Drosophila melanogaster: one gene and its partners. The gene in region 1 interacts genetically with each later gene. Each region holds a gene or a part of one and is shown on either strand. Other genes may lie near its edges.

What was found.
Region 2: of tws (region 1) and gwl, changing one suppresses a phenotype caused by changing the other (phenotypic suppression), as found in Drosophila melanogaster (one study listed by BioGRID).
Region 3: of tws (region 1) and polo, changing one enhances a phenotype caused by changing the other (phenotypic enhancement), as found in Drosophila melanogaster (one study listed by BioGRID).

The regions. Positions count from the first base shown.
Region 1 is NT_033777.3:10,136,743-10,141,579, forward strand, and holds the start of tws (twins), read right to left. Parts: upstream 3,031-4,837; 5' UTR 2,585-3,030; intron 1-2,584. Other genes in the region: TAF1B (TATA box-binding protein-associated factor RNA polymerase I subunit B), read right to left, coding at 4,028-4,837. UniProt on the Drosophila melanogaster protein: Could perform a substrate recognition function or could be responsible for targeting the enzyme complex to the appropriate subcellular compartment.
Region 2 is NT_033777.3:18,744,607-18,750,864, forward strand, and holds gwl (greatwall), read left to right. Parts: upstream 1-1,763; 5' UTR 1,764-1,965; coding exon 1,966-2,115; intron 2,116-2,630; coding exon 2,631-3,464; intron 3,465-3,524; coding exon 3,525-3,683; intron 3,684-3,754; coding exon 3,755-3,883; intron 3,884-4,059; coding exon 4,060-5,062; intron 5,063-5,132; coding exon 5,133-5,398; 3' UTR 5,399-5,754; downstream 5,755-6,258. Other genes in the region: PGS1 (phosphatidylglycerophosphate synthase 1), read right to left, coding at 1-64, 123-1,187; Epg5 (ectopic P-granules autophagy protein 5), read right to left, coding at 5,966-6,258.
Region 3 is NT_037436.4:20,307,626-20,313,970, reverse strand, and holds polo (polo), read right to left. Parts: upstream 4,318-6,345; 5' UTR 3,662-4,317; coding exon 3,563-3,661; intron 2,923-3,562; coding exon 2,698-2,922; intron 2,637-2,697; coding exon 1,854-2,636; intron 1,789-1,853; coding exon 1,360-1,788; intron 1,293-1,359; coding exon 1,098-1,292; 3' UTR 505-1,097; downstream 1-504. Other genes in the region: alphaSnap (alpha soluble NSF attachment protein), read right to left, coding at 87-178; SCCRO4 (squamous cell carcinoma-related oncogene 4), read right to left, coding at 5,145-5,224, 5,355-5,562, 5,624-5,877, 6,049-6,140. UniProt on the Drosophila melanogaster protein: May play a role in regulating both nuclear and cytoplasmic aspects of the mitotic cycle. Regulates localization of the augmin complex during mitosis by ensuring its location on mitotic spindles.

The DNA of each region.
Region 1 (4,837 bases):
CAATCGCGAATTAAAAATCTTGCCATTTCTTCGGCATGGGAAGTACAGTGGGTACTAAGTGACGTGAACAACAAGAAATTTATATGGATAAATACGTCTGAAGCATAGTTTTGACATCCTTAAAAAAATATTACGCATACGTACTGTATAACATTCTTTTAAAGTTACAAAATTATGCTTAATGTGCCATTGTTTAATAGCAAACAGTTCCATTTTACTAAATGTTGCCTTACTAAGCAACATATTGCAAAATATTAAGTATACGCCTTGTCTAACACTTAACAATTTGTTATAGTATGCATTTGCAACATAATTATTTAGTTATTTGGATCGTTTACTTTTTTTTTAGAAATATATTTCTAATATTATACCCCATATTTACTGTTCTGTCATAGGTGTCACTGATGTTTAAAAATACACTACCCGAACACTAGAGATGCAAAAATAAACAAACGAAATGAAAGGTCTATTAAATGTGTGTGGCATGTGAATGGCTGCAGGGACAAGCGCCAGCTTTTCTTTTCCTCCGAAACGCAGCAGAATAACAAACACAAACGGCAAAAAAGCAAAACAATAGCAAACAAATACCGAATTTTTCAAGAAAATAATCATGGCGAGATTTTTGTTGTTCACTCTGCTGTTTTCGGGAAATGACAAAGACAGGCAACGGAAGCGCCGAAAAGGAACTCAAAAATAAAATTAGACAAATACACAATTTTTTTTTGCAGATTTTCATGCATACTACACTGGCATTACGCATTACGCAAATGAAGGTGAAATTTGAAAAAAAAAAACAAAATACTAAAAACATACAAATGCAAACAAATTAATGATTTATATTCGTGTATAACAAACTTAAATATTCAAGTTCAAAATAAAGTGTCTGAAAGCAAGTTTAATTATGACTAAAATACTTTTTTTCTGCCTACAGGAACCACGGATTTACAGATGCTATAAATAAGTGTAGCAACAGTTTTAGAGCCACCTAACCACGTGCCGCACGAGACTCATTTGGATCCCGATCCCAATCCCAATTCCCCTTCCCCAATCCCTGGCACACTCATCATCCAAAGTCCAGCCAGGTAGACGCCATTCGTCTGCCGCCGAATCTTTGCTGCCTTGATTATTTTCGGATCTGTCAACCCTTCTCGCCTGCTTTTCCTAATTTTCCTTTAATGAAAGGGGGTGGAAGATGGTTTGAAGGAGGGGGGGGTGGGGGTGTGCACAGTTATACCTGGCATTGTTTATATTTAGAATTTCATATGCTCCCGCTTGCCGAACTGTCCATAATATGTCCATCAAAGTGTCTTTTCAGTTTGACATCCATTGGCGGCAGCAGAGTGCCTTACTTTTTGTATCTTTTTGGGGAGGTAAGAGGGTGGTATTGATAAACATTTCGACGGACAGACGTGATTACTACCATATGTCCGACCAGATCCGTGGCAAGCAATATTGTGCTTATCAAACTGTTTCGGCTCATCCAATTAATACACTTCACGGCCCCCGAACTCCACCCCACTGCACTCGTGGCTGGCAGATATAATGAAACTAATTAGCATTTGACAAACACCAATCTCATATTATATTCCTCATATACAGTGGGCGTTAGTTTGTACAAAAGCAAACGCTTCACTGATGAAATTTCCAGAAATTTTGAGTGCAATATCACATGAAAACTTGTTGATATTCTGTAAATTACTCCATGAAATAAGTATACACTTGGGGTTGTAGGTAAATTGCTATAGAACCAGGCGCTGTTTTATCTATCATTAAAACCTGCTCTTGACCCTATGGACTTCATTTTGTTACCACCTTTGTATTAACAAGTAAACAAAGTATGGCTGTGTTGATTATCAAATCGAATAGGTTAATAAAAATAACTACATTTTTGATCTTTAGTCCACTACTGGGGTAGACCACTGTACCAACAAAGAATCCGCAAAAACAGGACCCAATTGGCTAAGGCAAACTTCAGTTGGGAAAACAAATTGTAAGCCCACAAATAATGATTTAGTCACATGGAATCGAAATCAAGATAAATGCGCGTGCTATATGGTTGTTTTCTTATTTTTTTTTCGCTTTGAGCAATTTGTTCGATTTGCTAATGCGAACAGCTTAGGCAAATATTTTGGCATAAAAGTCAGCAAGTGACAAAATAGTAGCTATTAATTGTTTGTAAGTCGGCTCGCTAAACATGGCCAGTGCGAGTCAATAGTTGTTTATTGTTTGGCTCACAGCGAAACAAAGCGGCCTGAAAATGTTGTTAACCTCAAAAACCGCCAAGAACGTCAGCCAGATCGGTCGGTATTATAGCGGTGGGAGGAGGAAGAGGAGGATGAGGGGGGGGGGGTGGCTCAGCCTACAGAAACTAGAGAATCAAATGCTATGGTAAAGCATAAGCCCCCGACCCCCCGCAAAAGGTTGACGTAACAGCTAGGCAGCTAAACTCTTGAGAAATGGAAGCACCACTATACTTTCGGCGGTATTGAAACAGCTGTCTTTCCATAATCGTAGCATTTGAATGGTAACCACACGCGCGCATATTAATATGAAAACATTTTCAAAAACCGAAAAACCAACTCACCAGCAGACTTCTAAAACAACAGATATCCAACAAATCACAGACACAACAGTGCTATTTTAATTGACAGTCTTTAGATATCTCATAATTTGCCATGCACTCGGCTATTTTTAAACTCTGATTTTGAATTTATTTTTGGTTCCTATTTCTGTGGCCTCCACACTTTCATCACTTTCAGATCGGTTCTCTTCAAGTCGCGCGCTGCAACGGTTAAAATTCCTGTCCACACATCCGATTCCACTGCACTTCTTGGGCACAGGCACTTTGGTTTCTGGTTATCACACTGCGCTGGACGGGCAAAGAGGCGTACAAAGGCACAATGGGAACTAATTTAAATTGAATTCGAACTCAGTGCTCGCGGCCAGTGGAAAAGTGGAAAATAGGGAAACTCAAACCGCAGCAGGGCAATAAGGCGAAACAGTCAGCGACGACGTTAAAATTAGCACTGAAACGCGCCGTGCGAATGCGCGCCTATGATTTCTTTACCCACTCTCACTGCTCCCAAGCGGAGGTGGCCTCTTTTCTAGCTAGATATAGCTATAAATATAGGTAAGATCACAAGAATATCGAAAAAAAGCATAAGATAATTCTTATCACCTCTTTCGCCGGATTTTTGAAGTAGGATCATCAGAGATAACTGCTTTATATGAAACAAAGCTAGTAAGACATTAAAAGGAAATCGCTCCTATGAGAGCGTTGACAACGTTAAACTTAAAGCAAATATAAACTATCACAATTGAACACCCTTTAAATTGTTATATATGTAAGTGATTTTTTTTGGTTTATTTATTTTATTTTGTTGTTTATTTGGTATAATTACTTTATAAGTAGAACTGTTCAAAAACAAGCCAAGTGAGCTCCTCTGTTTCCCCAAGTACTCTCACGCTCTTTTTTTGCTCTCTCCAGTTGGTGATGACCGTGGGGCCTGGCGCTCTCTTTTGAAGAAGATTTTTGTAAACAAAACCGCGACACGCATTGTTGCTGCTAATGTGATTGTTGTTGTTCTGATAAACGCTAATTTGCCTATTGATATTGATGTTAATGTGCCTTTGCTCACACAGTCGCGGCCAAGGAGATAACACTGCCCCTTAATACATAGATCGTTTCAATCTAAAATGGATGCAAATTTAACATTTGGGCATAGGAAAACGTATGGGTAGACAACGAATATTTTTGTTAAATGAATTGATCACTTTCGATAAGTGTGTAAATCATAAATTCCTGAACTTAAGCTATTGACGTAGTGGGTGTGTCATGTTTGTACTTTGGTAACTGCTTAACACACAGATTTATTTGCATCATAATCACTGTTGAAAGATTTCTACAGGTTATATACACAAAAAGAAAATCTATCATTTGAGGTAGAGCACTACGTAGAAGAATATTATATTTTATACAGATGGCATCGTTGTTTGTTAATTCAAAACTTTTAATACTTCTAATATACTACCATAACTCCTTGTACGTCCTGGCGAGGGTTCGGATGTCCTTCTCTTGAGTATTGTGTTGAATACACAGATAGTTCCTATGATTGCTCCAGTCCCTGATGCTGTGATGGTACATCACTTCCACAATGAGCAGTTCCTCGTAGAGCTCCTCCCAGACTATGCCTATTGTGCTGGCACACGTCTCCAAGAGCCAACGGAAGGAACAGGGGAACAACTGACGCAGTTCATGCTTGTCATGCCTCCGAATTCTTTTCATATAGCCGTGTAGAAGCCAGCAATCAAAATTTGACACTTGCAATAACAGCGTCTCAGGGCTTGGCGGCTCATCATTGATATCGCTCGCTACTTGGTCTGATGCTCTATCAGAACCTTCCGGATTCAAAATTTTTTCCAGATTGCGACGGGGCAGATCTAGAGGGATGTTTAATGGATCCATGGTCCCTTCCTCGAAGGTTTGCAGTGAGCTAAGGCTGTCAAGTGGTATCTCGTTATCGTTGAGTTTGAGAAGAAAGCTGGGCGTTTCGGTAACATCCCAAAACGGATTATTTATCTCAAGTTGCACACGCCTTGCGTCGCGCATTGTTATACGTTTCAAATATCGGGCTCCATAGGTTCCAGTGGGCTGTGTGAACCGAAAGTCCGGCCGTTTCTCCTTACGCTTTAGCTCGCTTATCCACGTCTCGGTTTTAATTTCAGTGTTGGCGCGGTATTCTCGACCGTCACCTCGGATTATTGTTAGTGGGCGGAATATGCCCACGTTTTGGATGTCCTCCTGGCAGGCAAGCTCCTCTACTCGTAGTTTAAGGCC
Region 2 (6,258 bases), 8.6 Mb from region 1:
CTATCAGTGTGTAGGCAGCCGGAATTCCGCCCGCTGGTCCTTTGGCACCCTGAAAGCCGTTTGCCTGGAAAATGAATTAAATCGGGTTACTATTGGTCAACTAATTACTGATAGCCACTCACATTTGGATGAGCCATCAGTATGCTGCATTGGGCCAGGCACTTGTGCGTGAGCGTGTCCATGTACTCCTGCGTCAGGTTGAAGTACCCGGTGGCCAGTTTCAGCCGTGATCCAGACAAGCAGTTGGAGAGCAGCCGCTTGGTCACCACGCTGTCGTGATGAATGCCGATCTGGCCCATCTCAAGCAGCGGAAAAATCCATGTGTCTGCCTGCGGATTCTGCTCTTTAGTTCGCGCCTGCCGCTGAAACGTCTCCTGCACTAAATCGGAAATACGTTTACGGGCAAGCTGGATAAACTGCTCCTTGGTGCCCTCGTACGGCAGTATTCGCCAGTTGCGGTGCAGTCCCTCGCTGGCATCTGGCGCCACTGCCAAACTAAACTCTTGAACGCGTTCGATGAACTGCGCATAGAAATCCGCCAACGGTTTGTCCTCAATGAGTATGTATCGATCCTGCCGGTTGGTGAAGTAGTCATTGGACAGATTGGCGCCTGATATGATCACGGCATCGTCGAACAGGTAGACCTTCATGTGCTGTAGTCCGAGAAGCTCATTCCACCGTGGCGGTGCTAGTCGCTTTGTCATCCCGCGCAGATCAGGCGTATGGTACAGGGATAGCTGCACCTGGCTCGCAAAGTCGCGGACCAGGGGTAGCAACATGGTCTTGGAGTTGAGGGTTCCCCGCGTGCCGCGTGTAAAGTCCAACAGCACGTTGAGCCTCAGGGCAGACTGTTGCTCCAGGCTGTGACGCAACGTCTGAACCATTGCGTTCTCCAGTTGCCCAGTGCCCAGGTACAAACTGGCCAGCACTATACGGCGTTTGGCCTGACCGATTCGTTGCACCAGCGTTTCGTAGAAGTGCTTTGGCTCGTGGATGACCTGAATTTGATCGCCTCGCAGCGGGAAGCACGGCGCTAGGTTGTGTAACCAACTTAGGCTCTCCAGTGCGGGTGCTCCAGGGAATCCGGTGGCCAGGACACTGGGCGCCTGCTGCAAGCAGCCCAGAAAATCGCCCTGAGCAGCCGGAGAGAGCTCCTGGCTGAAAAGGCGGCGAAGGTATGGCATCATCTTGGCGGGGATTTCTCTGACGGATTGGCAAGCGGATCCTCACTCTGGGCGGCTGCTATTTGATGACAGGGTATGGCGCATTGCTCACTGTCTGTTTGGCTGTATCCGGAACACACTTTCATTCATGGAGTGCTGTTTTATCACAAAAAAAACTTCGAATTTCAGCACGTAAATAAATTCCAGGTGGAACGCAAGTGTTGCAAAGCGAGCTGGGATTCGATAACAATTTATAGCTATCGGGAATTATCGACTGTTCATAATGGTGATGGTGATATGGTGATCCTGCTATGTGTTTCTTAAAAAAAAATAATATTTAAATCAAATTAATAAAAGCCTAACCATTTATCAATAGTTACTAACTGTTACATTTTTAACATTTTTGTGTATATCTACTTTTATATATATGCATAAAGAAATATTTGAATAAATTTACTTGAAATATTCAACCGGTATCTTACTAATATGCATTTCTTTTTGGTAATATTTAATTTTAGTTTAAAAAATCGTTTAATTTTAAACTGCAATAACATCGATGTTGTCAAATTTCTAGAAACATCGATAATACTAAGAATCGAATTAGTTTCACCTCTAGTTCAGGTCATAGAAAATAGACGCGCTGTTTTAAATGTGTGTTTGAAATAAAAATTGTGCAATAAACAAGCTAATAGCATTCAGGTCTATATCGAATTCTATACATTGTATATCTCTGTACGATAATTGTATATATTGTGCGAAACCGCGAGAAAATCGCACTCTGACCGTCGGAAACCTGGAAGATATGGAAAACGCCGATGCGACTTCGCAATCGGATGTCCACATCGACTACAAAACCCCCAAGAAGACCCACTCGCTGATCGACAGTGAGCAGTTGCTGGACAAGATCAACATCCTTACCACCAAGCCGGAGAATCACTCCCAGAATGCCAAGGTACGCGGAGGAATCGCAAACTGGCGATTACCACACGTGGGTGGTTTACAGTTAGCCACGGTTGCTAATCAAGAAAATTTGAAATGCCTCTAAACACAGTGTTTATGTAAATTGATTAAAAAAGGGCAGTACATGTTCAAGAATTAATGAAAAGGTTATGTTTATGTATTATAGGAAAAACGAAAAACATATGTACGTTCAAATGTGATGTTATATAGGATTTCCATTTCAAAAACATTTTTACAGTTCTATTTATCTTCTGTTTTTTTTACATAGCTCCTTTCTTCATTTCCTTTTACTGGCTATTGATGTACATATATCTTCTTTTATCCAATTATATATATACACATATGCTTTTTTAAGATTTTTTATTTTTTATATCTAGAACTGAAGTTTTTCTATGTCTAACTTTAGCTATATTATTTTCCTTTGTTCTGCCTTGGGCTATAAGAATTACCACCACCACTTAGGTCACTTTATTATATAGTAATGGATACATTCGCTTTCTTATACAGCTTCCCACTATCAAGGATTTTGTCATCATTAAGCCAATCAGCCGCGGCGCCTTTGGAAAAGTCTTCCTGGGCTACAAGAACAACGACTCGAAGCGGCTGTTCGCCATCAAGGTGATGCGCAAGTCAGAGATGATCAACAAGAACATGGTGTCCCAGGTAATCACGGAGCGGAATGCCCTGGCCCTCTCCCGCTCTCAGTTCTGTGTCAGTCTCTTCTACTCCCTGCAATCGCTCTCCTACGTCTACCTGGTGATGGAGTACATGGTGGGCGGGGATCTCAAGTCACTGCTGGCCATGTTTGGGTATTTTGACGAGCCCACGGCCCGGTTCTACGTGGCCGAGATGGTGATGGCGCTGCAGTATCTGCATCAGCACGGAATTGTCCACAGAGATATTAAACCGGACAACATGTTGCTCTCCTCCAGTGGCCATGTGAAGCTTACTGATTTTGGGTTGAGCAAAATCGATATGCGAAGAGATCTGGAAATATCAGACCTTATAAACTGCTCACCGAATTTAAACGCCCGCACGCCGGGCCAGCTTTTGTCGCTTACTTCGCACCTGTCTTTTGGGTCAGAGAAGAAACTGAATGACTTCGGTTCTGTTTCAAGTGGACAAAACAACGGAATGGGCTCGGTGGCCACGGGGACATCCCACTTGCTGCAGGCCATCAACAAGCATAGTCTGATAATGGAGCTGTCGGATAGCGAGGGCGACACCTCGCTCAATGATGCAGAGAAGACGAGCGATAGCAAGATATCTGGTGTTTCCCCCTTCTTTTCTGCCGAGGAGGCCAATGAATCCATTACTCATACCTGCACTACAAACGTAAATGTGGGTAAACATATTGCAATTAAAATGGATTTATTCATCTATCATTCTCCGAATCTTCAGCCCCAGGATAGCAGCTCGTCTTGTTCGTTCCACACTTGTAACTCGGCCGACCTGAGCAAGTGCTCACCACCACTGGAGTCAAAGGACGGTGCTGCTGCGGGCAATGCGATCCCCAGCAAGCGGCGCGTGGAATTCGTCTTGGATGCGGCACCCTGTCAGGTAAGTGGCTGGAAATCGGCCAAACCCGTAATCTCTGTATTTATTTGCATAAATGGTTGATTCTCTGAAAGGGCTGCAAGCTGGCCGAGCAAGACAGCAGCAACATGGCCACCAATGATGGCAAACATTTGCCCAAGATAGATAACGCAATCGAGGCTTCGTTTGAGTTTTCCATGGTGCGCAGGCGATCGGTCGACGAGGTGCGTTGGCATGTGCATGTGTGTGTGTCTGTCCATTGTGCGGTTTCCCTTTCTGTATTAAAATACTAGTATTTTATAACTAACTTTACAACTAACCAACATTAAATAGGTTAAAAGATATGTATACCACATATGTAGGTAGTTCAGTTAATAACTACCTCTACTGTTCCCTTTAGCGAAATCGCATCTCAAAGGGGCCGGAGGATTCAGGGGTGTCCAGTCGCAAGGGCGACGACTATTCCAGCTGCCACTTGAATCTGAATAGCGAGAGCACGGCTTCGTCGATTGAGAAGAATGTGGACAACCTAAGCCAATCCAAGGAGGATTTTAGCTGTTCAGATTACTCGCGCAGTTATAACGTGACCAACGGCAACGAGATGAGTGGCATCAACATGAACTCGCCGTTTCGGAATCTGTCCAAGCACTTTAAACGCCCCGACTTCCTGCGCGGCATGAAGCGAAAGATCAATTTGGTCAATCGCTCCGACAACATGTCCAGCATGGATACCGATGGCTGCAGTTCAAGCAATGGAAGTACCAACACCGGACTAACACAGGAAATTGAAATCCTTAATATTGGCAGCAGCACGCCCAAGAAGCGCAAGGCCCGTTCCTCGCCCATCCGTGGTGTGCTAAAGGTGCGCTCTTTATCCGATGACGAAATGCCCATAAATCATTTGCTTGGTCCGGAAGCAAATGTGGCCAACGTGGTCTTCTCTACGCCCGTATCTTCACAGAAGTTGCCACGTCGGGATGGTGGTCTTCTTGGAAAGCTCAAGGCCACTCGGTTCGCTCTTCCGCTGTCCATTGAGAACAAGAAACGGGAGCATGCGACCGCCGATAAGATGTCAGGCATTCAGTACCATCTGAAACTGTCCGACGATCCCACGATGTCGCCTATCAATCATGGAGCCGGCAATCTACCAAAGACGCCGAAAAACGTTAACATCAATACCCCGTTCCGCACACCGAAATCAGTGCGTCGCGGGGCTCGCGTGTCTAATGAGCGCATCTTGGGCACACCTGATTATCTGGCGCCGGAGTTACTGCTGAAGCAAGGTCACGGTCCGGCCGTCGACTGGTGGGCTCTGGGCGTCTGTTTCTACGAGTTCATGACCGGCATTCCACCCTTTAACGACGAGACACCTCAGAAAGTATTTGACAACATTCTGAATAAGAGTGAGTTTTGTTATTTCAAGAGTTTTCTTGCAAATATTATACCTATATTTTTGTTACCAATTCCTCACAGACATCGAATGGCCAGAAGGTGATGAGGCATTATCCGTCGAATCCATGGAGGCTGTGGAACTGCTCCTGACCATGGATCCCAATGAGCGACCGGCCGCAAAGGAAGTGCAACAAATGCGTCACTTTGCTTGCATCGACTGGGAGAATATAGGCAATACCGAGCCCCCATTTGTCCCGACACCAGACAATCCCACTGATACGGGATATTTCGATGCGCGCAACAATCTTCAGCACCTGCAGCTGTCCAATTTTGCCCTAGAAGAATGATTGCCAAGCGGAGCCCGGCTGCCTCCGTGTCAGCGTGCTCGTACCGAGCACTGTATTATCGTTATTTATATTTTCATGTAGCAATACCTAAGAGTAGACCCTTAATGTTCATCTGTTATCGTTCGTGTAGCCCTACGTATTTATATTTTGTTTAAAGTTCATTCAAGTGTATCATTATATTTTCGTGTACATTTAGTGGATTATTACTGTCATGATTGTCGATGATCATGGTCAGTGAAGAGTTTATATACAGGTACTGATGTCGATTTTGTTATTGTAACTACGCTTAAACAAATAGCTTCAAGTATGCACTTTCGAGACATGTATATCAAATAAAGTTATAGTCTACAAGATTTAAAACAAAGTTTCAGTGTTTGGCCCCATGTTTGTATTATGCTAAAAAGTATGTATAAATAAATGTTCACTTTTATACATTTTATGCAATTTTGAAAATTGCTTAAAATTTATCACTTTATTTAACCTATACCTAGTTAGATGATATATAACACCTGGAAAATAACACAACTGGCTGTTAGGATGTTTAGAATATTTCACTTGGTCGGTAAGCTACGTGGCCATTAACTTGAATTCAAAGTCCCAGACCTCTGGAATGGTTGTCAGGTAGCTCTCCTCGTAGAAGATGCTGATGAGTCGGCAGACCATATGAGGTACGGCCCGGATATCGGGAAATGTGGATTCCTTGAGCAGGCTAACGGCCCGAACGATCAAGGGCTTGATGTCGGTGAACTTCTTGTTGGCCAGCAGCATAGACAGCTCCCGGAGCGCACTTTCGTACTCTTCTGACGGTATGCGAAGGTCCCGATTGGCCGGAAACAGCGAAAAGATCACACAAGCCAAGC
Region 3 (6,345 bases), on another chromosome or scaffold:
GTTGTGGAGATGCTAGGCTAGACCAGACACAGCTCCATTTCCCCACTCCCACAGAAATTGCGAAACTTCTTTGATTTGATACGCACCCGAACAGCGATCCCAGAAAGCCCTTCTGCTGGGTCAACTTCTTCTCCGCCTCGGCCATCAGCTGGAGCGCCTTCTGTTCGTTGTCACCCATGTCGAGGATTTATGTCCGCCTCGGCACTAATTGCATCTAAGTTTAAGACTTGTTCGGCTTTTCAGCGAGTGTGTGTACGTATTGGGATCTTTTTTCGAGAAAATAAAATCAATATGCTGACTTGGTGTGACCGCAGAAGTGGTGCCAGTGTTACCATCTCACAGCATTCTCAAATAACTCATGCCAGTGTTGTGAAATGCAAGGGCTGTAACGTTTGTTCGTTCAAAATAATTCTCAGCCGCCTGAATGCGTCACCTACAGTCTGGCAGGTGCATTTTAAGAACAGCTGCCCTAAACGTTGCAAACAATCTTTTTTCAGATATTTTATTAAATTTTATATATATTCGCTTTTAGTTCAAAAGCATTTACATATTGTATCCTATAGCTACAGATATTTCTGGCCAAAGTTGAATATACTTGTACACTTAAACACTTTGCAGCAGTATTGTAACTTATGTATTATTTTAAATGGCGCTATAGCGCACTACGAACGCACAATATTACACTATTACTTTTATAATGTATCCAGCATTAAAATTTTGTTATCAGTCACCTCGGTGAATATAGGCATTTCGAAACACGTTTGCTTAGTTTAAACATTTAATTTGATCTCTTTAAAATGCATTAAGTGATCGGATCGTGTACGAAAACCATTAAACAGATATATTAAATTACTTTTGAGGGAGGCCCAACACTGACGATGAATATAACTTAAGCAGTATTTTCGATATGAAGGGGAAGGGGCAAAAACAAATAAATTCTATAAACATCGAACAAATCAATTTGAACGGGAACTACAATTTTAAAAGATGATGGGAGAGGAGGATACTTTCTGGGCTATAAATGAAGTTGGCCAGGGCATTCGTGAATTACGTTAAACTAACATTCGGCCTTATAATGATAGTTGGGCTGGCTACGCTTATGTGAACATCTTCTCCAGCATTTTCCTAAGTTTCTCCTGGGCATATCGGATCTTCTGGTACAAGTCTTTAGACACGCCGTTCTCCACAATGGTCGAAAATCGGTAGGTGCGGAAGTTCTTCTCCTGGTCCATATAGGTTATAGCACTCATGCGCGGGCAGAGGATGAGCTTCATGTGATCTGAGAAGTTTAGCTAAGAAGGATAGATAGTTCATTAGGACCAGATGTACATGATGCCGATGCTGTACAATTATACAAACCTGCACAGAACCGTTGGTCAAATGCATAACTACGGCACATGTTGTACGGAACCAGGAGTGTAAATGGGGCATACGCGAGATTTGATCGCTCTCAATGTTCACATTGTTGGCACCTGCCTTCACCAGGTGCTCGATCATGTAGCGCTTAAAGTACGACAGCAGCTTCATCTTCTTGTCAAGCGACTTGCAGTAATCCGTGGTGGTCATGTACGTCTCCTTGCCATCCTTGTCGATGAAGTGTACGTTGATCTGATTCGGCAGCAGGATCAGCTTTGTGGTGTCGTTGAACATCACGCCGATGCCCTCATCGCACAGCTGGTAACCAAATCCGTACTTGTCGCTGTAGTCAACCCACTTGGATATCCAGAAGAGCGGCTGCGCTGCAGGATCTGTGTTCTCGTCGCCCAGATTGCCTTGCAGAATTCGCGGCTAAAGAAGTGAAGAGGTATAAGAGTCTTAAATTATTTAACTAATATAGAGCAAAAGGTACTTACCTTTCCGTTGATAAGATTAGTGAGCTGCTGGTACAGGCTCTCGATATCGCTGCGATAGTCCTCGCTGTGGCGGCACACCTGCGCTGACGCGGTAATGGCGTCGTGCAGATTGGCCTTGAGGAAGGTCGACTCCAGACGAGTGTCGTCGGGCCTGATGCCGTTCATCTCCATCAGTGGCTTGCGGTGCATCGAATCCTCGATGGTGTCGTTGCTGCCGATACGCGGCGCCATTGTCAGACAAGAGCTGGGCAAGAACATGGGCACCTTTGAGCCCTTGAGGAACTCAAAGTTCAGCAGCTGACCAATTGCCGGGCGGCTCTCCGGATTTGGCTGCAGCATGGCGATGACCATATCCGCCGCCGGTTTCCTTAAGTAGCTGGGCACGCGGTACTCGCACTTCTTGATTTTCGAGTACGTATCCTTCAGAGTCTTGGTTTCGAACGGCGGCTGGCCCACAAGCAGTGTGTACATGACGCAGCCAATCGACCAGATGTCCACCTCGAAGGAGTGGCCCTTCTTGGTGAGGATCTCCGGGGCTATATAGTTGGGCGTTCCGCATAAGGTCTTTTTTCGCTCGCCCTCATACTCAATGCGCGTGGCCAACCCGAAATCCCCGATCTTCACGTGCAACAAATCGTTGAGGAAGAGATTGCCCAGCTTCAGATCTCGATGGATAATGCGGTTATCGTGCAAGTACTTAACGCCCTGGATTATCTGGTAAATGTAGTAGCGGCATTCGAACTCCGTAATGCTTTTCCTACGTTTGTGCAGCTCCATCATGGACTGTAAGTCGGAGAGGTAAGTGTCATGGTGGCATATTGCAGAGATGTTCTATTAAACTCACTCTTTTCTTGCACAGCTCCAGCACAATGTAGATATTCTGCGAATCTTCAAAGTAGTTGTGAAACTTGACAATGTTCGGATGGTTAAGGCTGCGGTGAATAGTTATCTCCTGGGCGGTCTTCTCCTTCTGATTGTGTTTGATCATCAGCTTCTTGGATACGATCTTGCCGGCGAAGACGTCGTCGGTTTCCACATCGATGATCTCGTAACATTTTGCAAACCCGCCCTGCATAAAGCATATTAATTTTGTATTTAAAAACATTATACAAAAACATAACCTTATACTGTATTAAAAACAGATCTATGATAAAACTTTGCATATAGGTATTTTCAAGTAAATGGCGTTTAATAAACGTATTGATGTCTATTTTACAAACATATTCTGTATAAACTTTTTATCCATATTGGTTGGCAACATAAAATTAGTAATTTATATTTAACAATCACATGTTTAGTACCTTTGCTCCAATCTGCGGAGCCCCTTCCAAGAAAATATTTATATGCCAATAGCACAACGAGGAAATTGTTGGTTCAACTAAGTTGCAACAGTTCCTTTTCTTGTCTATGTAAATTCGAAGAAGCCGCGCCAAAAAAAAAAACTGAACAAGCAGCCAACTGCATGAACACACACACACAGGCTCGTACAAGATTCCCACACACAGGCTCTCTTTTTCTCTCCTGCTCTTAAAGGAGAGAGCTACAAAAACAACAAGGGAATGCTCATCAGCAAGGAAAACGGAACGAAAACCGGGATGTGGAAATGGATATGTGTGTATGCGGGTGCGTGCATGTGTGCGTGTAGGTAAATGTGTGATCCCTTCGACTGATCTGATCCCGGGCATCTGCAAATCCGCATCCGGACTCACCTTGCCGAAGAACCGCATGCGCTTGTAGGTTTTCCGCTGGTTGATGTCGACGAGGCGATCCGGAATATCCGTGCTCTTATCCTCGGGCTTCGCGGCCATCTTGCTCTCCTTTCTTCTTTACTACGGACTGCCCCTTTTGCGTTTGCGTTCGCCTGGAGTTTTGCGGCGATACTCCTCGTTCTGAGCCTATAATTCCACCGGCGATCGGCTGAAAGTGCCTCGGAAACGGAGATCAGATCCACACGGTTGACAAGAGAAGCGGCGATCAAATCTCGGTTTTGCCCATCGAATGCACGAAAACCAAGCACAAAGCGGAGAACGCGCCGAAACCGTTCGATTTTTTAAATGCCAAAATGAATTGGACGTGAAGCGTCAGCTGAATTGGTGTGCCCGTTTCGCTGGCTATCGCACACTTTCTGGTATGTATCGCGGTATTTTGTTGAGTGTTGAACAACAAATTCTATGGCCGTTACCCTTTTGAATTTACCTACTGGCGTTTACTCTGTTCGAATTGAGCGCAATATTTTTTCCTATTGCTCTGCGCAACACTGTGTTTAACCGCTATTTATTTGAAAATCTACAAAAACTAACGTTACATTTTTGAAATTTCAAAAGGGTTTCATAAATTGAGTTTACTAAACAGTCAACGGTCAACTTTATATTGTAGAGCCCCTTTTCTAATTTGAATTGCTGCAAACGTTTTCTGAGTAAAAATACTGCCACCTTGTAATTGCAGGTTTCGATCCTGATTTGTGTTAAAAAGAAATTATTAGAAACAGCTATCTCAAAGCCTTCTATGTTTTTCAGTTAAACTTTCAAATAACGGTTAAAAATAATTTTGATAAAAAAAAAACAACACTAAAACACACACAAGTAAATAGAAAAAATAATGTGTTTACTTAATAACTTTATTAAATAATCCCCAGATTTTGTTTTTCTACATTGATTTAATAACGACTACGAATACCCCACTATTGGTGTAGATTTCCGTTTAGATTTTGACTATGCCTGCTGATATCTCGAAGGGGTCGCTTGGGTTGGAGGATTGTATGTTCTAGAATAGGTCTATTTGGGGTCTCTTGGTTATTGCCATCGTTTCGTTCTCTGGGATTACTCCTTACAAGCTGCCCCGTTTTGGCTCTTGTTGCTGTTCTGATTTTAATGTTTTGTTTTTGTTTGCGAAAGAGGCCTTATAAGTAGAAAAATGTGGTTTTAGTTCTTAGTTGTCGTCGTTAATACATAAATTATTACATTAAATATATTATCAATAGTTTAGTTTCATAGTTGGTTGCTTTGCCAGTGTACGCAGTCTCTCCAAAATGCCTTGTGTTTCCGTGTGGGTGAGTGTGTGCTTGTGTGTTTTAGGCCGAAGAAGTGGCTGGTGGATCTGATCGTGGATCTGAGTGTGGGTGTGGGTGTCAGTGAGTGTCCTGCGGTTATGTCTTAAATTTTCGCCGATCTATCTTATCAGCATTCCCATCCCATCGCATCGCATCCCATCTCCGACTCAGTCTCCGCGAACTCCTCTCCGCACTGAGCTCCCAAAGTTGAACTAGAAATAGGCGACTCGATACAGCTTTTCTCAGCTAGATCCGGTTGTGGAGGTGACCTGACTCCGCTGCAGGCGCAGCCATTCAACAAACTCATCCAGCATGACGGGCCCTGCAAAAAGATGGGGGTAACTAAATGCTCCGTTTCAAGTTCTTATTTTAACTTATTTATCAGCTTCTTTTAATACGGTTGCGAAATACATAGTTCAGTTTAGTTTAGTTAGCTCCTTTGTGTTACTTACAAGCTCCGTCGATATCGTAGTTTGATAGATCAATGCTAATGGTGCGCGAGAACTCGAGAATATTACACCACTGATCTTTGTTGATCGCCTTGTACTTTGATTGCTCTAGAAACTGTGCGAACTGTGGATACAGAGGCCAATGTTTGCCCAAAAGTAGTTGAAGCATGGCTTTGGCAGTGAGTATATCCATACACCGTTGGTCCGAGTCCTGCGGAATATGCAGAGCCTTATTAAACGCAGCTCATTGTTTATTCAAATGGATTACTGACCTTGGCAAAGTCGTAGGCGTATCTGTAGATGCTTTTAAAGGAGTTGGGATCGTTGAGTATGCTGCGCAGATAGTCCAATTTCACAACCATTTTCGCTGCCGAATCGCAGTCGAGTTCTGTGAGGCCCTTTAGCCACTCCTGCTGGCTGAAGAAGCCCATCTGGGTGGCGCCCATTTTGTAGGCCAGCACCAGCATCACAATATTCTCGGGCTCCACGCCGATATCCTCGCAGAATTTTTCCATGCCATCGGGACCTGAAGAATCAGTTTGTTACATAAGTATTTCGAAGGGCCAATAAGAAATAAATAAGCAATTTCTTTATATACCCAGAATTTGGTATGCCTGAGCGATTTAAGAAGATTGCCGATATCTTTATATTGCACATATTCAAATAACATAAAACACTGCAGTGTCATCCAACTCACCCAATGTCTCCGGTTCATCTGGTGTTGTGTACTCCTGGAACCAGGCCATGCAACGCTTTTGACTGAAGCCATCTTCCAATCTGATATGGCGTCTGTGGATAGAAACAACAGGTTTTTTACTTGAGCAATTGGATGTCGTTCGATGATTCAATCAAATTTACACACTCTGCCATCCGAATTGCATGGAATTCGCCTTCACCACGTATAGACCAGAGTTTTAATCGAATCGAATCGAATCTGTCGCTAATGCCGTGTGGCCTCTTTTGTTTATTCTATTCTATTCGACTTGCCTCTCCT